Diceros bicornis minor: one gene and its partners. The protein of the gene in region 1 interacts with the protein of each later gene in a pairwise test. Links are inferred from orthologs where the notes say so. Each region holds a gene or a part of one and is shown in the gene's direction. Other genes may lie near its edges.

What was found.
Region 2: the proteins of PSTPIP1 (region 1) and PCDHB14 interact in binary tests that used the Homo sapiens proteins (3 or more experiments, as listed by UniProt). The two-hybrid records come from large-scale screens. The link is inferred for Diceros bicornis minor from reciprocal best matches to the Homo sapiens genes PSTPIP1 and PCDHB14.
Region 3: the proteins of PSTPIP1 (region 1) and TULP3 interact in binary tests that used the Homo sapiens proteins (3 or more experiments, as listed by UniProt). The two-hybrid records come from large-scale screens. The link is inferred for Diceros bicornis minor from reciprocal best matches to the Homo sapiens genes PSTPIP1 and TULP3.

What each region holds. Positions count from the first base shown.
Region 1 is NC_080744.1:69,298,166-69,305,112, reverse strand, and holds the start of PSTPIP1 (proline-serine-threonine phosphatase-interacting protein 1), read left to right. Parts: upstream 1-3,851; 5' UTR 3,852-4,248; coding exon 4,249-4,284; intron 4,285-4,759; exon of another isoform or gene 4,760-4,853; coding exon of another isoform or gene 4,854-4,856; intron 4,857-6,947. UniProt on the Homo sapiens protein: Involved in regulation of the actin cytoskeleton. May regulate WAS actin-bundling activity. Bridges the interaction between ABL1 and PTPN18 leading to ABL1 dephosphorylation.
Region 2 is NC_080740.1:59,408,021-59,415,500, forward strand, and holds PCDHB14 (protocadherin beta-14), read left to right. Parts: upstream 1-4,432; 5' UTR 4,433-4,568; coding exon 4,569-6,965; 3' UTR 6,966-7,180; downstream 7,181-7,480. UniProt on the Homo sapiens protein: Potential calcium-dependent cell-adhesion protein. May be involved in the establishment and maintenance of specific neuronal connections in the brain.
Region 3 is NC_080756.1:58,499,144-58,507,080, reverse strand, and holds the start of TULP3 (tubby-related protein 3), read left to right. Parts: upstream 1-4,889; 5' UTR 4,890-4,940; coding exon 4,941-4,981; intron 4,982-7,937. Other genes in the region: RHNO1 (RAD9, HUS1, RAD1-interacting nuclear orphan protein 1), read left to right, coding at 1,121-1,288, 2,375-2,932. UniProt on the Homo sapiens protein: Negative regulator of the Shh signaling transduction pathway: recruited to primary cilia via association with the IFT complex A (IFT-A) and is required for recruitment of G protein-coupled receptor GPR161 to cilia, a promoter of PKA-dependent basal repression machinery in Shh signaling.

The sequences.
Region 1 (6,947 bases):
CACTATTGTTTTTGTTGCTTATTTGGCTCAAAAGAATGGATGAAGTGGCTTCAGGAGCTGAGCCCTGCCAGGTGACTGGCTGTGGTGATTGATGTTGTAAAAACTGATTTCACATTTTATTCTCAATCCTTGGACCTACTACTTTTTGAATTCTTCAAGCAGATGTGTTCAAATCCCATGCAAAACAGGATGGGGCTCTGCCTGCACAGGGGGACGCCCCCTTAAAAAAAGAGTGACAGCCTGGCCTGAGGTGCAGCAGCCCAGACCTCAAGGCAAATTGTGTTTTGAAGCAGCTGGAACAGTCGTTAAAAAGCTATGATTTTCAGGACTGGATTTCCCTCCCCGGGGGGCTGGTGAAGGAGGGAGGCTGGAGAACAGTTCCCTTTTCTGGGAGGGACACTCAGATGTCTCCATCCTGCTCCTCCACCTCCCCGATGTCCCACCAACCCATCCCCCCCACCCCAGTTGCCCCATCCAGGCCTCATCCCTCTCTCAGAGTTATTACAACACCCTCTTCCGGTCTCACCTCCTCTGAGCCACTTCGCATCCGGAGAGATCTTTCTAGAACCTGTCTGTGGACCCCTCAGGGCGGAGACTAGGTCTATATCCTCTCTGAGCCCTAGCTCCAGCAGGACCTGGCAGGAGTTAGTGCCCAGCAGTGTTTGTGGACCTGGTTGAGAGAAGGCTGTGGTGGTCACGGTGGTTGGCTCCCAACATCCATAACACCCCAATCAAGGGATCAGGGGAGGCCAATAATGGTGAAGTATGAGTATGTGACTCACTTCTGGCCAACGAGACACAAGGGAAAGTCTCCTGGGAGGCTGGGGTGGGGAGGACTTTGGAGAAAATGAGACACAAGGAGAAGTGTCCCTTCTCTTCCTGTAGATGTAGCTGTGTGTGGAGTTGTAAGCCAGAGCTGCTGCAGCCTGAGGAGGAAGATAGGAGATGGAGGAAAATCACAGAGAAACTGAGCTGGGGACCCAATGTACCCCACCCGGAGGCCACACTGCATCCAGATCCCTTGTGTGGGTGATAACACACTTCCTCCATGCCAGACCCTCTGGTTGTGTGTTCCTTGCAGCCAAAGCATCCTTAGCGGGTGCAAATAACACAGTGAACTTGGAAGACCACGTACCAGGGCTGGACTCTCACCCAAAAGCACCGCCAGCCCCAACAGCCTTCCTGGACTCAGTTTTTCCACTTGTAGATCAGGGTGAGATGTTCTGGAGGCAGAACTGGAGAAAGAAAGGGGGAAACCCACTGTTAAGAGAGGGCTGTCGGTAAAAGATAGCTGTGGAGGTTAACAGCATGCGTGGGCTTTGGCATCAGACAGATCTGGGTCCGAAGCCCAGCCCTCTGCTTACTGGCCGCCAGGCCTTAGGTGAGTCACATAAACTCTTTAATCACTAGTTTGCTCCTCTGTGAAGTGGGAATGATGATAGTGTGTACCCCACAGGATGGGGTGAGGGCTAAGCGTGGTGACCCACGTAGAAAGCTTAATGGTGCTCCCAACACTTGGCAAGTGCTCCCAAGCTGACTGGCGGTTCTGGTGGCACAGGCTTGGGAGCTGCATAAGCTGGGGTGGTGGGGAGGGGAGGAGGCAGATTTCTCTGTGGCGGAGAACTTGAGAGTCTCCTTAGATGCCTCCCATTACTCCTTCCCCAATTGCTCCAGCCCACAACCAGCATGCCATCCGTCTGGGGCTGCCCTGGCTGGACCAGAGCAGTTGGGAAATGAAGGCCTCATATGTGGGGGCCTTGAGGGATGGGAGAATTTACCCAGGTCAGGAAGATCAAGGAAGGCATGCCAGGAGGGAGGCTGGGGGACCAAGGGGCAAAGGTGTGGAGGTAGGGATGGGAAGGGTACCTTTGGGGAGAGGGTAAAGTCCTGTTTGAAGTGGAAATTCAGGGGGATGATGAAAAGAACCCCTGGAGAGGCAGGGGAGGGGGCCTGGCCATGAAATTTTCTGCCAATAAGAGGGTTTGTTGCTGTTAGTACCACTGAGTGAATTTTAACTCCTAGTGACCCTGTGTACAGCAGAGCAGAACCCTGCCTGGTCTTTTTGTGCCTTCCTCTCACCTTCCAGCACTATGTCAGACAATGCTCTGCTGCTATTCATGGGGTTTTCATGGCCAATTTTTTCACAAGTGGGTGGCCAGGTCCTTCTTCCTAGTCTGTCTTAGTCTGGAAGCTCCGCTGAAACCTGTCCACCAGGGGTGACCCTGCTGGTATTTGAAATACTAGTGGCATAGCTTTCAGCATCACAGCAACACGCAGCCGCAACAGTATGACAACCGGCAGACAGGTGGTGTGGTTCCTTGACAGGGAAACAAATCTGGGCCACAGAAGTGAGAGCGACGAATCTTAACCACTAGACCACCAGGGCTGGCTAATAAGAGAGTGGGAGCTTTCTATTAACAGGGGGTTTCTAGTCTGCCTCCAGAACTAGAGGCATCACCCCATTTGATAGGTCACAAAACTGAGGCCAGGGAGGCTGAGTCAGTGCAATCAGAAGTGGTTATGCCATGGGGATGAGGTACAGCCTCAATACTTAGCCTTCTGGGTTTAAGGTGATATTTACACCATTAGCTGTCTTCAGCTGCAAGCAACAGAAAAACCAACTGGAGTGCCTTCAATGCTGAGGGTGTGTATTAACTCAAACCCGAGGATTCTGGAGGTAGGGGGCTCCCAGGGGCAGCCCCACTGGTCTGCAATTCTCCCTGATGTGTTCTGTCTTGGGCAGCTATTTCAGAAGCTTGGGTGTGCCCCATCTGTAACCCTGGGCACACATAACTGGCACTTGGGAGCTTAGCTCTCTTCTGCAGCAGCTCTCATCCGTCTTACCACCCTCCGTCAATGGTAGGGGAGGCAGTGGCAAGGGTGGTGATTTGTGGACAAGCCTGACTCATCCCTTCTTGCCAACCCACCCTGGGGTCAGGCCCCCCTGCCGGCACCTTCTGCTGAGTGGGCAGGCCCTAGCTCCTCAGAGCTGTGTCTGGGGCTCCAGCCCAGGGATCTTCCCAAGGAGATACCAGACAGTGACCCCAGCACCTGCCCAACCAAACAGAAATTCCAGTAATGTTCTCAACACTGTCTCCTTCCCAAAGACTGGGGGCTGGCAGATGGGGAAACTGAGGCTCAGAGAGTTGGAGGGTCGATTAAGGTCCCTCAACCACTGAAGGGTAAGGCCCAGACAAAACAAAAACTGGGGCCTCAGTTTGGGTTTCCAATGCCTTTATAATCCTGTCTCTCTCGGTCCAACCACATTCTTCCAGCCTGAAGACTCCAACTTCAGAGCGTGGCTTCTTGCCCCAGAGTGTCTACTCTGGAGCTGGGGGGAGGGGAGCAGTGCCCATCAGGCCTCATGCTGTTCTCCCTTGGTTAGTTACCGGCTCATCCCACCTCTGTGCTCCCACAGCCCCCAGCCCCCAGCTGTGTCTGCCCCCAGACCGTGAGCTCCTTGAGGGTACGACATGGTTTGGGGCCCTGAGCAGCCAGGGTTTGATGAATGAGAGGGATGTCCTGGGCCTGGGTAAGCCCCTCCCAAATGGGTGGGTGAGGGGTGGAGAGTCTAGCATCTCTGGGCCTGGTCTGGAGTGGGGCTGGGTGGTGGGCAACAGCACCTGGGTTCCTGATTCCCTCCTTGCCCACACCTTCCCTGGGCCTCAGGCTCCATAAGTTGATGGCCTCTGAGAACGGCCAGCTAGGACATGAGAAAGGGGCAAGTGGAGGAGGCAGGCAGCAGGGTGGCAGGTGGCAGGCGGGGCTGCGCCGGGGAGCACAGCAGCTCTACTTCCTGTGGGCGATGGCCCTAGTGCCTGCCCCGGAGGAGGTTGCACAAACCTTCCTGCTCAGGCCTCAGGCTGCCTGCCCACCTGGCCTCTGCACCAGTCTGCCTCTCCCGCTGGCCACTCCTCTCAGTCCTGCAGCCTGGGCTGTGTCCTCATCCCCACGGGGCTGGCCAGGGGCCGGGCCGGACACCGGGACCCGCCCTCCCATCCCTGGGCACCCCGCCTTCCTCATTTTGCTGCTGATTCTAGCCCCAAACAAAATAAGTTGAGTCCTCTTCCTCCCGCAGCAGCGCGTCCCTGGCTTGCAGCTGCCTTCTGAGGCACTGCAGACGGCGCCGGCCAGGGAGGGGGGGCCTGGGCCAGCCCTGCCGGGTCTGGGACGGTGCGCCTGGCTCCTGGCCCTGTTCAGCCCTGCCTGTGGCAGGAGAGTGAGCTTTGCCGTGGCAGACGCCTGAGGATGATGCCCCAGCTTCAGTTCAGAGATGCCTTTTGGGTGAGTGAAGACGGCTGGGGCTTTGAACAAGTGAAATGGGCCCCGGGGGAGGCGGGCAGCTTGGCTGAAATTTCCTGTGGCAGTTCATGGGGATGTGGCTCCAAGAAGGGGGTTTTCTTATAAAAAATAGTGGTTGGTTTTTTGTCTTGGAAGATTTTTGTCTTGGAGGTGACCTGGGCTACTGTCCTTTCTAAGTTGTAAGATAAAGGGGGTCCTAGCCTGGGCCACTGATTTCTCTGCAAACTCACCACGGTGGATGAGGGATCTCCTCTGTGCTCCCAGGGCTGGGTGACCCTCTCTCCACAGCAGGATCTTTTTAGAGGAGTCTAATGTATGGGTGGGAGTTTGAGGCGAAGGAAGGCGGGGGTCGTGGGTTTGGGGACCAGACAAACTTGATCTTGGATCTTGGCTCTGCTATTTAGAGTCTGGACAAGTCATTTTACCTCTCTGAGTTTCATTTTCTCCATCTATATAGTAGAGATAAATATTAATAAACATACCAACTGAATGGAAGGATTAAACAAGGCGATCTAACGTCATCAAGTCCTGGCAACTTGCTGGCATGCCAAATGGTAATTCTCATCCCCTCACCCACCCTTCTTCCTTGAAGACCTGAGAGGTCCTCTGAGGAGGCAGCAGGGCTGGGTGATTCCTTGCTTGCTTTCTTAAATTCAGCACAGGCACAAATCAAGTCCTTTCCCCGTGAAATTATGGCCCCTGGCGGGCTCACAGAGGTGAAATGGCTTGGCGCAGGCCACACGGCCTGCAAGCCCCAGATCCCCTCAGCTTTTTTCCAGCTGTCTCTCAACCTTCCCGCCTGCTCCTCAAGCTCTGGCTTTCCCTAATGGCTCACTGGGAAAGTGGAGACCTCTCTGGTTAGAGTTGAGGAATGTGGCTGTCCGGAGGGTGCCCCTCCTCCAGCCCCGCAGAGGACTCCTTGGCCCTCTGCTCAGCCAGCTCAGCCTCAGCCAACAGCCTGCCCTCCCTGGGCCCTTTCCTGGGGCCTACGGCCAGGAGGATGAGAGCTAATGAGCCTTCCTTCTCTTCCGGTCCACGCTCTGCTTGAAGCCTATGGCCAGTGTGTGAGTGGCCTGCTTCTCGCTGGCACTGATTGCCCAGTGGGCAGTGGGCTGCCTGGGGAGGGCACCCTGTGCCTCTCTGGGCCTCCATTTCCCCATCTCAAAGAGGGGCTGGAACCAGCCTGGAGAATCTGATGGAGGCAGACCTGGCTCGGCCCATCCCAAGTATCAGGCTGGCAGGTGTGGGTGGGTGGCTGCAGTGGGGGAAGACAGGGGGGTGGTGAGTCACCACGTCACACCTCTGACTTTAAGTGTGTAGTTAAAGTAGGGCCTGGAAATCCAGGGTGCTCCGTAGCCCAGGGCAGGCCAGGAGATCCTAAGTGTCTTACCTCCAGGACATCTGGGCCCATCTTCCCCGGGGCAGAGCTGGGGCAAGGAGCAGCCTCATGGCAGGATCTGGGCAGCAGGGGATGGTATATGAGGGAGCAGGGTGTGGCGGCAGCAGCAGCAAGAAAGCAGCCTACCTGTGGTAGCTTCCTGAGTGGCAGCCCGCCCAGGCTTGCCCCACCTCTGAGCCGCTGCGGGCTTCATGGCCTCCGGATGCCTCCTCCCCTCCATTGCTGACTCCTTAGCCCTGGGTTAGGGGTACAGCTTCCCTGGGGAAGGCCAGAGCAGGGAGGGGGAGAGAAGTGGCCAGTGGGAGCCTCTCACACTGAGCCTAGGCAGATGCCCCAGAAGGTCACTGTCAGCATCACTGCTCCCAGGGCTCTGAATTCTAACACTTCCTCCTGAGGCTCAGCCCAGCTCAGTCCATGAGGAAAACTAAGACTACTGAGCACTACAGATGTGCCAGATGCTGTTCTCAGGACCGTGTATCTATCTACTCATTTAAAGTGATGAAGTAGATGCTATCCTTATCCCTGTTACTAAGAGGAGGAAGTTGAGGCACAGAGGGCTTAAGTAACTTGCCCAAGGTCACACAGCTGGGCTTAAACTGACATGTTGACTCCAGTGCTTGGGCTTGCACCTGGGGCACTTCATTATCCCTCAATTAACATAGCAGATCGCTGGGTCTTTGGGCCATATCAGTGAAATGGGGAGAAAAATTCTGTCCTTCCTACCTCCCAGAGAAGTAAGATCAGACGAGGTTGATAGGAGTATTTTGAAGCTCAATTTACAGACATACTGATTTAACTGCAGTCAGGTGTTAGGGACAGAGCCCAACCTCCCCCTCCCCCGTCTGCCCCCTTCCCCAGCCCAAGGCAATGCCATTGGACCCTGCAGCTTGGCTGCACACTGTTTGAAAATGACTAGTCTTTAATAGTGGGAGGAAGCCCCTGAACAAGAAGGATCATGTCTGATGCCGTAGCACTGCAGTTGTCTGGCAACCTCAAATCCAGAACACAGGTGAGAGCCAGCCCTGTTTCTGGCACTAGCTCTCAGTAAGGGGGCAAAGATGGTGGTTTCTGAAAAACTAAGAGCTTGCGCTAAAGCACATACACTTTATTCACGAGATGGCACATAGCTTTTAGTTAGAGCCTAGGAACCCTGATTTTACCTACAATTTTAACGAGCTTGGTCAGGTGCTCTTTTAACCTATAGATGCAGCAATTAGGAGGGGTCTACATGGAACCTGATATACAG
Region 2 (7,480 bases), on another chromosome or scaffold:
GTAGCTGGGTCACTGCCACAACTGGGTTCTAGCTGGCTGGGAGGGAGGGGACACATCCAGATGTCTTCCATTTCAGACCCAGGAGAGGCAAACAAAAGTTCTATGCACAATCTGTGAGAACTTAATTCACTTGGCCACACTTCACTACAGGGGAGGCTGGGACAGGCAATCTATCTGAGTAGCCATGTGCCTGGGTACAGTTCTATTATGTAAAGAAAGGGAACAGATTTTGGCAGACATCTATCAGAATCCTCCACAATGATCATCTTCTTGAATCCCCTGGATAATTTTAATAATTATTTTTCTCGAATTTTCTGAAGCATTTGCTACTGTTGATCTTCATCATCTCCTTGAAATGGTTTTTGCTTTTGGTTTCATGATTCTGCACTCTGGGCCTTCCTCGTCTTTTAAAAGATACTTCTTTTCCTCTCTCTTCTCATGAAGGTGTTTCTCAGAGTTCTGTGCTAAGCCTCTTCTATCCTTACTTGATACACTTTAGCTTGGTTATCTTAGAGCTCTCATGGTTTCAATCACCATGTACATGCTAATGAATCCCAAAGTCCATATCTGCAGCCCAGATTTATATCCTGTGCTTCTGTTATATATGTACACACATGCAAATATACACAGGCATGTGCATATGCACACACACACACACATACATAGCCCATAGGTACTTACCTCAATATCAGCATGTCCAAAACTGACTTCATCTTTTTCCACTTCAATTTTGTTTTGTTTCTTTTCTGTGTTCTGTCTCAGTGAATGACACCAGTAGCCATCCAGTTGCCCATCCAGATGTGTGTTAATCATCCTTGAGTCTTTCCTCTTTTTCTCCCAATGCAGCCTATCAATCACCTGGACTTAAATACTTTTATCTCCTAAATATCTTTCTAATCATCCCTCTTCTCCCCATCTACACTAGCATCACCTCACCCAGGCTACCATCATCCCCTAACTGGTCTCTCTGATTCTAGTCATTCCCCTGAAATTGAGTCTCCATACTTTGGCCAAACTGATTTTTCAAAAATGCGGATGTGATCATGTCAGCAAATGCTTAAAATCCCACATTGTGTTTTAATTGCCCTTAGGATAAATTATAAAGTGCATGATATAACCTATATAATCATTTATGTCCTCACCTTGATTTTTTCCCAGTCTCATTTTTAAGTTCTCCCCTTTCATGGTTTAAAGTTCAGGGCGTACTGAACTTTTCTCCGTTCCTCAAAATGTCTGTCTGACTGAAAGCCATTCCTCTGAGAACAGGAACGAGGCAGGGCTGCCCACTCTCACCACTCCTGTTCAACATAGTACTGGAGGTTTTGGCCAGAGCAATTAGGCAAGAAAAAGGAATAAAAGGAATCCAAATAGGTAACGAAGAAGTGAAACTCTCACTATTTGCAGATGACATGATTTTATATATAGAAAACTCTAAAGAATCCGTTGGAAAACTATTAGAAATAATCAAAAACTATAGCAAAGTCGCAGGGTACAAAATCAATCTACAAAAATCAGTTGCATTTCTGTATGCTAATAACGAACTAACAGAAAGAGAGCTCAAAAAGATAATACCATTTACAATTGCATCAAAAAGAATAAACTATCTAGGAATAAATCTTACCAAGGAGGTGAAAGACCTATACAATGAAAACTACAAGACGTTATTGAAAGAAATCGATGATGACATAAAGAAATGGAAAGACATCCCATGCACATGTATTGGAAGAATAAACATAGTTAAAATGTCTATATTACCTAAAGCAATCTACAGAGTCAATGCAATCCCAGTCAGAATCCCAAGGACATTCTTCACAGAAATAGAAAAAAGAATACTAAAATTCATATGTGGCAACAAAAGCCCCCGAATAGCTAAAGCAATCCTAAGAAAAAAGAACAAAGCAGGAGGCATCACAATCCCTGACTTCAAAACATACTACAAAGCAATAGTAATCAAAACAGCATGGTACTGGTACAAAAACAGACATACAGATCAATGGAACAGAATTGAAAGCCCAGAAATAAAACCACACATATACAGACAGCTAATTTTGACAAAGGAGCTAAGAACATACAATGGAGAAAGGAAAGTCTCTTCAATAAATGGTGTTGGGAAAACTGGACAGCCCCATGCAAAAGAATGAAAGTGGACCTTCTGCTATCACCATTCACAAAAATTAACTCAAAATGGATCAAAGACCTGAAGGTGAGACCTGAAACTATAAAACTCATAGAAGAAAATATAGGCAACACACTATTTGACATTCGTCATAAAGGAATCTTTTCAGATGACATGCCTACCCACACTAGGGAAACTAAAGAAAAAACAAACAAGTGGGACTTTATCAGATTAAAGAGCTTCTACAAGACAAATGAAACCAGAATCAAGATGAACAGACAACCCACCAGCTGGGAGAAAACATTTGCAAAACATATATCTGACAATTGGTTGATCTCCATAATATATAAAGAACACACACAACTGAACAACAAGAAAACAAACAACCCTATCAAAAAATGGGCAGAGGAAATGAACAAACACTTCTCCAAAGAAGATATACAGATGGCCAATAGGCACATGAAAAGATGTTCAACATCACTAATCATCAGGGAAATGCAAATCAAAACAACACTAAGATATCACCTCACGCCCGTTAGAACGGCTATAATCACCAAGACAAAAAACAACAAATGTTGGAGAGGATGTGGAGAAACAGGAACCCTCATACACAGCTGGTGGGAATGCAAACTGGTGCAGCCTCTATGGAAAACGGTATGGAGATTCCTCAAAGAATTAAAAATAGAGATGCCCTATGATCCAGCCATCCCACTACTGAGAATCTAGCCAACGAACCTGAAATCAACAATCCAAAGAGGCTTATGCACCCCTATGTTCATTGCAGCATTATTCACTATAGCCAAGAAGTGGACGCAACCTAAGTGTCCCTCAACTGACGATTGGATCAAGAAAATGTGGTATATATATATACAATGGAATACTACTCAGCCATAAAAAAAGACAAAATCATCCATTTGCAAGAACATGGATGGGCCTGGAGGGTATTATGTTAAGTGAAGTAAGTCAGAAAGAGAAAGACAAACACTGTATGATCTCACTCACATGTGGAATATAAACCAACTCACGGACAGAGAAAACTGTATTGTGGTTACCAGGGGCAATGGGGGTGGGGGTGGGCACAAGGGGTGAAGGGAGACATATATATGGTGATGGACACACAAAAATGTACAACTCAAAATTTCACAACGTTAAAAACTATTAAAACATCAATAAAACAAACAAACAAACAAAAAAATGTCTGTCTGAAACACTCCTCCTTCTCCTGGCTAGCTCCTTCAGATCACAACTTATAGTTTACTACCTTAGGAAAGCTTTCAATGATGTCCAAAAATCTGTGTTAGATTTTATTTGTTTTATTTTTAACAGACACTTAACTAGCACTTACTAGCCACTTTGTAAATATTAACTCATTAGATTCCTACGATAATAATCCTAGGAGGTAAATACCATTATTGTCCCTATTTTACAGGTAAGGAAACAGAGGTACATAACTTGCCCAAGTCTGAAGATAGTGAGTGGCAGAACTAGGATTCTAATGTAGATATTTTGGTTCCAGAATCCATGTCCATAACCACTACACAATGCTGCCTCCTAGGTACAAGATGTCCCTTCTAGGTATTTCTATATTACTCTTTACCTATGAAAACATTGTGACATATTTTAGTTACTTGTCTGCCAAATTTTCTAGCCTGTGAGCTCCATAAAGGATTATCTCTATCTTATTTATGTCATGTCCTTACATGTGTAGTTTTAAAAATATATTGGTGAAAAAAGAAATGACATTACTAACTATAATTAACTGATTCAACAAGTATTTACAAGAGTGGAGGAGAGAATATATTTGCAATTACTCAAGAAATGGCCTAAATAAAATATTACTTCTTCAGTTCAGAACATTTTAATGGATTCTTCTTGACAGGCATTCAAAACATAGCTAATTAAATGTACTATATGGAGTTTCTTTGGATCCTGATTCAAACAAATCAACAGTAGAAAACATTTTGGGGAAAACCAAACACAGACTGTGTATAAATTGTATCAAGGAATTATTGGTAAATTTGTCGATTGTGGTATCATAGTTATATTTTAAAAGTTATATTTTAAAAGACTTTGTCTATTAGAAATACTTAGTGAAATATTTAGAGGTAAAAACACATGATTCTGGGATTTGCTTTAAAATACTCCAGATGTATTCATGAATTACTTGTTCAAAGAGAAAAAAATTCTTACTGAAAAAGGATTCATAGAGACACATGGTGGCGCTGCAGGATAAGATGAAAATGATGCATGGTCAACACTGTGGGCTCCATTATTCAGGGGAAGAGAGAACATCCAACCCACTGAAAAGGAAGGTACTAAAGGAGCTTCTTCTACAGAGCTGCTGGAGGGCTATTTACCCACCAGGGGGTTCTCAGTAAAAAATCAGGGCTTCAGCTTCCAAAATTGGCGCTGAATTTAAATTTTTCCACAAAAGAAGTTGCCTGAAGGAAGCATGGCGATCAGAGGGGCGCTCGCTCTGCAGAAAAGGCAAGTCCTGATTCTCTTTGTTTTGCTGGGATTGTCTCAGGCGGGTCTTGAATCTGTGAGCTATTCTGTGGCAGAGGAAACAGAAGTTGGCTCTTTTGTGGCCAATCTGGCAAAAGATCTGGGGCTTGGGGTGGAGGAGCTGTCCTCAAGGGAAGCCCGGGTAGTGTCTGAGGATAATAAAAAGCATTTGCACCTCGATTTGCTGACTGGGGATTTGGTCCTAAATGAGAAACTGGACCGAGAAGAGCTGTGTGGCTCCACCGAGCCCTGTGTGCTGCATTTTCAGGTGGTATTGGAAAACCCTTTACAGTTTTTTCGGGCTGAGCTGCATGTCAAAGATATAAATGATCACTCCCCTGCATTCCTGGACAAGGAAATACTTATTAAAATATCAGAAAGTACCACTATCGGAACCACATTCCTAATGGAGAGTGCCCAAGATTTGGACATAGGAAGCAATAGTCTCCAAAACTACACAGTTAGCCCCAATTCTCACTTCTACATTAAAGTTCGAGACAGCAGTGATGGAAAAATATACCCAGAACTGGTCCTGGACAGAGCGTTGGATCACGAGGATAAGCTGGAGCTCAGATTAACACTCACAGCACTGGATGGTGGATCCCCACCCAGGACTGGGACAACTTTGGTTCTCATCAAGGTCTTGGACGTCAATGACAACGCCCCTGAATTTCCTCAGAGGCTCTATGAGGTGCAGGTCCTGGAGGACACACCCGTTGGCTCCTGGATTATCACCATCTCTGCTAAGGATTTGGATGCAGGAAATTATGGGGAAATATCTTACACATTGTTGCATGCATCAGAAGATATTCGTAAAACATTTGAAATCAATCCAATATCTGGGGAAGTACATTTGAGATCACGCCTGGATTTTGAAGTAATACAGTCATACACTATAAATATTCAGGCAACAGATGGCGGGGGTCTTTCAGAAGAATGCACCCTTCTGGTTAAAGTAATAGATATAAATGACAATCCACCAGAAGTGACCATGTCGTCAATTACAAAGATAATTCCAGAGAACTCCTCAGAGACCCTTGTCGCTCTTTTTAGTGTCCGAGATCAAGACGCTGGGGACAACGGGAGGATAGTTTGCTCTATTCAAGATGACCTCCCCTTTTTCCTGAAACCAACCTTCAAGAACTTTTTTACTCTGGTTTCTGAAAAAGCACTGGACAGAGAGATGAGAGCCGAGTACAACATCACCATCACTGTCACCGACTCGGGGACACCCAGGCTGAAAACAGAGCACAGCATAACCGTGCTGGTCTCCGACGTCAATGACAACGCCCCCGCCTTCACCCAAACCTCCTACACCCTGCGGGTCCGCGAGAACAACAGCCCCGCCCTGCACATCGGCAGCGTCAGCGCCACAGACGCAGACGCAGGCGCCAACGCCCAGGTCACCTACTCGCTGCTGCCGCCCCACGACCCGCACCTGCCCCTCGCCTCCCTCGTGTCCATCAACGCGGACAACGGGCACCTGTTCGCCCTGAGGTCCCTGGACTACGAGGCCCTGCAGGCCTTCGAGTTCGGCGTGGGCGCCACAGACCGAGGCTCGCCGGCGCGGAGCAGCCAGGCGCTGGTGCGCGTGCTGGTGCTGGACGACAACGACAACTCGCCCTTCGTGCTCTACCCGCTGCAGAACGGCTCGGCGCCCTGCACCGAGCTGGTGCCCAGGGCGGCCGAGGCGGGCTACTTGGTGAGCAAGGTGGTGGCGGTGGATGGCGACTCGGGCCAGAACGCCTGGCTGTCGTACCAGCTGCTCAAGGCCACGGAGCCCGGGCTGTTCGGCGTGTGGGCGCACAACGGCGAGGTGCGCACGGCCAGGCCGCCGAGCGAGCGCGACGCGCCCAAGCACAGGCTGCTGGTGCTGGTCAAGGACAACGGCGAGCCGCCGCGCTCGGCCAGCGTCACGCTGCACGTGCTGCTGGTGGACGGCTTCTCGCAGCCCTACCTGCCGCTGCCGGAGGCGGCGGCCGAGCAGGCGCAGGCCGACCCGCTCACCGTCTACTTGGTCATCGCCCTGGCCGCGGTGTCGTCGCTCTTCCTCTTCTCGGTGCTCGCGTTCATCGCGGTGCGGCTGTGCGGGAGGAGCAGGGCCGCCTCGCTGGGTCGCTGCTCGGTGCCTGAGGGCCACTTTCCGGGCCACCTGGTGGACGTCAGCGGTACCGGGACCCTGTCCCAGAGCTACCAGTATGAGGTGTGTCTGAGGGGAGGTACTGGGACAAATGAGTTTAGATTTCTGAAGCCGATTATCCCCAGTCTTCCAGTCCATGATACTGGTGGGAATATGGCAGGAAATGAGAACTTTAGGAATAGCTTTGGATTCAACAGTCAATAAAATAATTTATTTTAAACTTCTTTATTATTCTTAGCAGAAAGCATCTAGTTTTTGCCTATCTGTAATAGATTTTAGGTTGCACTATAGTTGCATGTATTATCATTTCTTACAGTCTCCTCACAGTTGCTTTAAAAATCTTTTTTTAGTGGCTATAATGACATGGAAATATAATCTGTGCACTTTCTGTGTTTTTTTTTATTTGGTCAAAAATATTAACAGAGTTATCGCTAATATTTTTGTTGTGATAATGCAGTTATGCAAGACAATGTTATTGATTATTTGGAGGTGCAAACTGAAATGTTAAAAGCGAATGCCACAATATATGTAATTTACTTCTAGACATTTCATCAAAGGAAAAATAAAAAATGCTATTGGATCTGGGTGGAAAGTATATTGGACTTTATTGGACTATTTGCTTTGAAAATTTTCATCATAAAGGGTAAAAAATGCAACCTCTCCATATTCAGTACTCAGGTACCTTATTTGTTTGCTTTTTGTTATGTAGTGTTTTTCAC
Region 3 (7,937 bases), on another chromosome or scaffold:
CACACTGTTGCCAGGACAATCTGTCTAAAAGACAAACACAAACAAAAAACCATTTATGATACAATTGAAAATTTGAACACTTCTGGATATTTAATAATATTAAGGTATATATATGTATATGTATTAGTTGTGTTAATGGGAATGATATAATGACTGGGAATATCATATTTTCTTCAAAACAATATAGGGGTGGGGAAGTGGATAGGGGTTTGGAGGGGTCAGGATTGGCCATGGGTTGATGGTTCTTGGAGCTAGGTGATAGGTACATGGGGGTTCATTATATTATTCAGTCCACTTTGGTGTGTGTTCAAAATTATCTAGGTTGAAAAATTTTTAAAAATCCAAGTGTGATCATATCCTTCTGCTTGAAAGTCTTCAGTGACTACTTAGGCTAAAGCCCAAACCATATAGCACACCTGGTTTTTCTGACCTGACCCTGACACCATGTCCAGCCTCAATTCTTGCCATTTGTCTTTTCGTATCCTGTGTCCAGCTGCATGGAGTCTGTGATTCCCTGAATTCACAGTGTTCCTTCCTGTCTCTGTGCCTTTGTATGTGCTGCTCCTCAGCCTGGATGCTCTCCCTGCCTTTTGGCTTTCCCTAGCTCTTCCATACCCAGGTCAGGTATCACCCTCTCTAGAAAGCCTCCCCTGGGGTGAGTGGAAGCATTCTTCCCATTGTTGTAATTGTCTGTCTCCCTCTGCTAGACTCTCAGCTCTTTGAAGACAGGGACAGTCTGACCTCTGTGTTTCTACAAGTGGTTGGCACTCAATAAATGATCGTAGAATAAATGGTTATTCATCTTTAACTTCCCGACACCCAGCATGGTGCTTAACACTTGCTCGATAAATGTCCATTGAGCGAATGCTGTTGAATGTGAACCACTGTGTTTTTACTCGCTGTATATAGGAAGCTGTGCTCCCCACAGTCTTGAGGTAGGGGTGGTAGTTGAGAGTAGAACTCGCTGGCAGGGTATGAGAAAAAGCTGGGGAATCGTCAGAATTACTTTCTCCCAGCTTTTGTTTCTTCTCTGCAGGCATGGGTTGGAATTGGAGCCACTCCCCCGACCTGACTACAACCAGCATCATGTGGTTACTAACTGCTCTTCATTCACTTCTTGATGCCTCCCAGAAAAAAACGCCGCCCAAGTTGCCAGAAAGCCCAGCTGCTATTCCACCATCAGCCACTGGAGAGCCCCAAACACCGCTATGGATCTCCACAGCTTCCCATCACCTACACTAGGCAGGTGCCCAGCAAGCCCATTGACCACAACACCGTCACTTCCTGGGTAGGCCATGGATTCTTACTGTGACCTTTACTCTGTTAGGTTTCTCACAATGCTGACTCTTCTGCCCCTTGAACCAGGGCCTCCAAAGAATAAGAAGATTCATGGGGGCAGGGACAAGGAGATAATATACTCTTTCTGTCATCGTCAGCCATCTTCTCTGGTATATCTTCTTTTCTAAGTTCAAACTGAGGCATGGTGTGGTTGGAATTGGAGTCTCCCGCCACATTCCTCTGAGAGAGTTCAGTATCAAAGTTTCACCTCCCACTAGCTGGGCGAGAAAGCCAGATAAGTGGCAGAACAAGTACAAAATGGGATTGTTCCCTGAGCTTCACGTGAGAGGTAAAGTATTTGGGTAGGTACTCTATTTACTGTTTAATAGTCTGAACCTTGAAAAAGAGCCACAGAAATGGCATATGTCATATTTTGTTAAAAGCCCTGGAGAGAGAACATAGCTCCTATAAGTCAGGGAAGTAGAATAGCAAAAGAGCCAGACAAAAGCATAAACTCTGCCTAAGAGTGCTTAATAAATGTAACTTGTCGGGGTTGCTTGGAAAAGCCATAATATTTGCTTCAGGATTGTAGAAGAGACTTAAATGTTAGAATCCTGGGGATGAGAAGAGGAATGAAATTTGTTGAGAATTCATTATGTGCTAGATCCTATGCTAGTTATTTTGCATACGCGGTCTCACTCCCTATTCTTGCATTCAGCCATTCATTCATTACTGGGTCCTTTCCTGTGTCAGGCACTCTGCTAGGTGCTGGGGATCAATGGTGAATAAGGCTGGTCGCTGCCCTCAAAGTTTAAAGATAGTTAAGTTGCAGCCATATGGTGTGATAAAGTGAAAGAGGCATTGTCCCCTTTCTTACACATGAGGAAACTGAAAGCCAGAGAGATTAAATAACTTGCCCAAAGCTCATATCCTTATCTATCTATCACATTAGACAGGTGTTTTTGTTTTGTGTCCATTACTATAGTAGGCCCCCATTTGGGATTCTGGACGTTGGGTGTAGTTTCCTTCCTGAGGTTTGTACTTGGTAGTTGGCTCTCCTCAGCTTTTTTTTTTTTTTTTTTTTTTTCATCCTTAGGTATCACCTCAGTTTGATACAACAGCAGAAAACTCGTTCCCAGCCAACCGGAAACGTCGTCGCAGAGACCAGGCAAGACATTCAAGTCGAAAATCTACCACCTCCAAGTTTCCACATCTAACATTTGAGAGTCCACAGTCTTCTTCCAGTTCAGCCACACTTGGGATCCCCTTAACCGGGGGATACCCCAATCAATCAGAAAAGGACATTTCCAGAAGGCCCTTCATTCCAATGCTCAGTCCCCAGAGCTGTGGGGAGCTGTCATCACACGCACTTCAAAACTTGCCTTATGTGTTCATTCCACCTGAAATCCGGACCCCAGAGTCATCTTCTGTGAAGGAGGGGCCCATTCCCCCAGATCAGAGGGAAGACAGCCTTCCAAGCTGCTCCCTTCACACTAGTACTCCCAAGAGCCCAGAGCCTGGGCCTGTTCTGGTTAAAGACACTCCTGAGGAGAAGTATGGGATAAAGGTCACGTGGAGGAGACGAGGGCACCTGTTTACTTACCTCAAGGAGAGAGGGAAGCTGAGCAAAAGCCAGTTCCTTGTGAAAAAGTGACTGGGTTTCTCAGATAACAGTAATCTCAAGACATTGATTGCTGGTTTTCACAGAGTTGCTCAAGTCGCTTTTCTGGCTCACAAGATAGCACATCGATAGAATAAAGTGGAAATAATACCAATAACATCAATAGAAAAAGATATTTTAACTAGACCCCTGGAGTCATAGGGAATTCAATTCCCAGATTTACTTTTTTAAATATCTTGTCATAAACAGTTCTTAGTGTCATAAACTGTTTACTTCATATTTTTCTTGTATTAACTGTTTCAAATTTTAACGTATCTTGTAGTAACTGTTTAAAATGTATGTAAACAAATGGTTGCAGGAACTTTTTAGAGAACCCTGCTTCTGACTGCCCCCTCCACAGAGGGTCTTTCCTAATGGTTTCCTTTAGCCACTACTCGTTAATCCTTTAGTCACCTCATGCAAACCAATTCATTCCACAGTTTTGAGTACTGACTCTGCGTCAGGCTCAGTGGCAGCTTCCTCTATGACCTGATGGATGGAAAAAATCTAAGCAAATTCTGTGACTTTTTATAGTTGAGCTGCCGCCTCTGCAACCTTGGCTCCTCTGCTGAAAGGAGAAGATTGAAGAAGGGGCAGCAAGCCCTGTTTAGTGAATACAGTGGGATCAGGGCAGGTAAAGGGGACATGAGTAAGTTACTTAGGTTTGCTGTGTTTTGATTTTTATTTCCAACCGAAGAAATCTCTAAATATTAAATAGGGTGGGAAAATGATTTCTTGCAGTAACTGTTTGAAATGTATGTAAATAAATGTGGAAACTTTTCAGAGAACAGTGCTTCTTATTGTAATTAATGCGGGACTACCCAGTCAACAAAATGTTTCCACTGGCCTTTCATCGATACAAATAGCATTTCATTCAACTCCATTCATTCAGCTTTAAGAACCCACTCTGTCAGGTCCAGCCGAGCCAGAAAGCAGGGATTATTGTGTTTGTTTTACGGACGGGAATTTGAAACACAGATGGTGAACCACGCTCAGGGTCGCATGGTGGGTGGAGGCTGGCCCAGTGAGTGCCGTGCTCTGCTCTTCTCGCTTGTGCCAAGTTCCATGCCTCTTAGAAATTCAAAACCAATGTGGAAACAACTTTGACGTCGGAATGCTATAAACTGAGGTCAGTGTGCAGTAACTGTCCGGATGTTTTGTGGGGACCATAACGCTGTATGTAAGTTGGTGGTGAGAAAAGAAGTGATGGTTGGGGACAAGATTTACTGGAAACGATAGCACAGATTTACACAGCGGATCTCGTCATGGAGTATGGATGTTTGAAGACGGTCCATAGGCTGTAGAGAGAGGTCATGGAAAAGATTGTCAGGAGAGTCCGTGGAGAAGGTCTAGAATGCTCTAAAAGCCTGGGCTGGAGTGGGGAGGCTGAAGGAGTTTTGTGCAGTTGAGTGCAAGACCAGGTAACTATATGAAAGATGCATTTAATTGGGTGTGACTGCTGCAGAGGGGACAAGTGTGGCTCCCAGGAAGGCCCTGGTGTCAGGGAAGGGGCCGGTCTGTGAGGGAGCGGGCAGAGATCTGCAAGCCCTAACATTACAGCCCTCGGGAAGCGCTCTGGGTGGTCTCAGTACAAACGGCAGAGGATTGGGGACGCCGCTCCGCGCGTGGCGGCTAGCGGGGGTAGGCGGCCCCTCCGACGGACTGGCTGCCTCGCCGCGGGAGCCCACGCGGCCGAGCGGGACCCAACACTCGGCCCTCAGCCCCTTCCCGGCGCCGCGCTCCAGGGCCGGAGCCCCAGCGCGTCAGCCCCGCTCCGGCGCAGGCGCCTCGCCTCCCGGTTCCTCCGCCCCTAGAAACCCTCCCGCAGCGCCGGGCGGCGGCCACAGCCAATGAGACAGGAGCGGCGGCACGAGGGCCAATGGGCGGCGGCGACAGTGCGGGGTGCGTTGCCAGGGGCGGGGCCTGGCTGCCGGCCAGGCTTGCCACCCTAGCAGCGGCGTCCCGGGGTCTGGATGTGGTTGTCTCCTTCTGGGCGGCGGGGATGGAGGCTCCGCGCTGCCGGCTCGGACCCCGCGGGGACAGGTCAGAGACGGGTGGTGGCTGGTCTCGTCTCGAGCGGGCGGAGGGCCTGAGACCGCGGCCGTCCTTGCGGGGGCTCTGAAGCGAGAGCGCTCGGTCGGGGGACGAGGCGGGAGGCGAGCAGAGGACCCCTTTTACAGGGGCGCGCTGGGGAGCAGCGGCTCTGCGGCGGCGCCGGGAGTGGGGCCTTCGTGTTCGTGTTCAGGTCCCAGCTTGGGAAACTCGTGGAGCTTTTTACGAGCTCGCCTTGCCCTCTGTGGGCCTCCTCACTCGGAGCGCGTTACCCTGCCCCTCGCACTGCCCAGCAGTGTCATTGCTGAGGTTGCATGAAGTCTCCGGGCTGTTGAAGCGGAAGGTTCTGGGTGATGTTTGATAGTTTGCTTAATGCGGTTGCGTCGGGCAGGCAGTGCTGAATTCTGCAAGAGTCCGACGGCTGAAAATGCAAAACTAGTCATCTTTTGCTATCTGCTTCTTAGTAACTCGCTCTTATGCGGCGTTGTCTGTCGTATTTGCAGTGGACCATGCCCCTTGTTTGTGCTCCTCTTGCTCTGCCATGCCCCTTTTTTCCTGCCTCCGCCAGAGGGAGAGCCTGGAAAAGAAGACGATCCGAAATCTCAGCCTGCCAATTTCTTGTTAGCTGGGTTAATGAAAAGTTAACGGGGAGCAGTGTGAAATGATTGGCTTAAAACTTTGGCATTGTCTGAGGATTTATTCTATTACCATAGCAAATAAAGATTTAGCATGTAAGGACTTAGTCTGATATTTAGACTAGTCGATGTTTAAACAATTGTAAACCATTTAAAAGCGTTGTCAGGAAGGAGGCGTTGGGGTACAGAACACTCATTTTTCTCTTTCATCAGATTTCATTGACGTAATAGCTGCGCTCTGTGAAATGTGTTCGCTGCTCTTTTTTTTCAAGTGGAGAGAAAAATATGCTACATTTACGAGTACAAATATGAAAATGCTAGGAGGAGGTAAAGTTAAAATTCAGCGTCTGTGTTGAATTCAGATGGTGCTTGTTAAGTTGTGGTCACTCAGTAAATCTTTTTTTTTTTACGAGGAGATCAGCCCTGTGCTAACATCTGCCAATCCTCCTCTTTTTTTTTGCTGAGGAAGACTGGCCCTGGGCTAACATCTGTGCCCATCTTCCTCTACTTCATATGGGACGCCACCACAGCATGGCTTGACAAGCAGTGTGTTGGTGTGCGCCTGGGATCCGAACCTGCGAACCCCAGGCCACCGCAGCGGAGCACGAGCACTTAACTGCTTGCGCCACCTGGCCGGCCCAGTAAATCTTAATTGAATGAATTTCAGGGAGTAAATTTCATGGGTACGAGATGTTTGATATGACTCATGATTTTTGAAAAAAAAAAATTGAATTGACTGAAATTGAGACAAGGAGGCAAAATGGTTTTTAATTTATTGGACTTGAAGTTTAAAGGGATAATTTAGAAGTTTTTCTGTCTTTTTTCTTCCCAAAGAAACCAGCTCTTTAATTTTAAATCCAAGGGGAATGTGTGAGTCACGGAATGTTCCTCCTGCAGCAGGTACTGTTAGTGCAGCTTCTAGCACAGTTTAACTCATTCGTTGCTGAGAGAAAGTGGAATAGGTCTTGCTTTTTTGGCTTTAATGGTTTTGATGAAATACATTGATAGAGTTTTTGGTATTAATACCTTTCAATGTGAAAGATAACATCTGACTTCTAAGTTTCTTGTGATTTTTTTCTTCTTTAATTATGTGACTCTTTTACCATGAGGCGGATGTATTTTCAACAAAGTATGGTAGTCCCCTCTTGTCCGTGGTTTCTTTTCCCGGGTTTCAGTTATTCGTGGTCACCCATGGTGGGAAAATATTAAATGGAAAATTCCAGAAATAAACAATTTGTAAGTTTTAAATTATAAGCAGTTCTGAGTGATGAAATCTGGAGTGGTCCAGCTCTGTCCCACCTAGCACGTGAATTATCGCTTTGTCCAGGTATCCACTGTGTGTACCTACCGGCCTGTTAGACCGTTAGTTAGGGAAAAATAGTACAAATGGGGTTCGGTACTACCCGTGATTTCAGGCACCCACTGGGGGTCTTGGAACGTTTCCCCTGTGAATAAGGGGGCACTACTGTAGAAAAATTATTAACAAGTAAACTCCAAATGTTTTTCCTATATCTGAAATATTTAGTGGAAATTGGAGATGGAATTTGAGACAGCACTCTCGGGACTTTTGTTGGGGCTAGGCATTTTGTATTATGGGTTCCCTGGAGATGACAGTGGTTTGCTACTCCTACAACTTGAGCTCCCTCTAGCCTTTTGTTCCTGATAGAAAATTGAAGATGTGATGAGAGAGACTTTTCTTTCTCGGTGTGATGAGAGAGACTTTTCTCGGTGTGATGTGACCTTGTGACCCAGAGTTGACTAAGAAAGTCCTAGTCTGTGGTTTATCCATATGCCATGATTTCTCTTTAGAAATATGAACAGTAGTAGTGCCTGAAAGTTATGTCTTGGCCAGGCTTGTTATCCTCTCTCATGTTCTCTCTTTTTAAAATGTTTCATCAGATGGACTAATTGTTGGCAAACAGACTTACCCAGTGCTTAAAAATACTTAGATTAACTTATACATGACCTCAGTATGTTTGGCAAATATCGAAAGCTATGGTAAAGGCCTAATAACATCTAGTGTGCGTGTGTTTTCCGAAATGTGAAGGCTACATACAGACCTAGGAAGGAAAGAATAATCCCTGTAATAAATTTCCCTTCTTCCAAGATCCTTCTGTTCCAAGCAGACAGACTCAGATAGTTTTTGGAATAGTTTCATTTCTGGCTTCTCTTATTTCCTGTGGAAACTCCGCTGTTTTCCCTGCATTTGTGCCCGTTGAAAGAAAAAGTTAATGTTTCCTCTCAACCAAGAGGAAAAGTATGCTTGAATTACTCAGAGGAGTTGAAGCTGCGTTGCTTCTCCCTATTTGAGA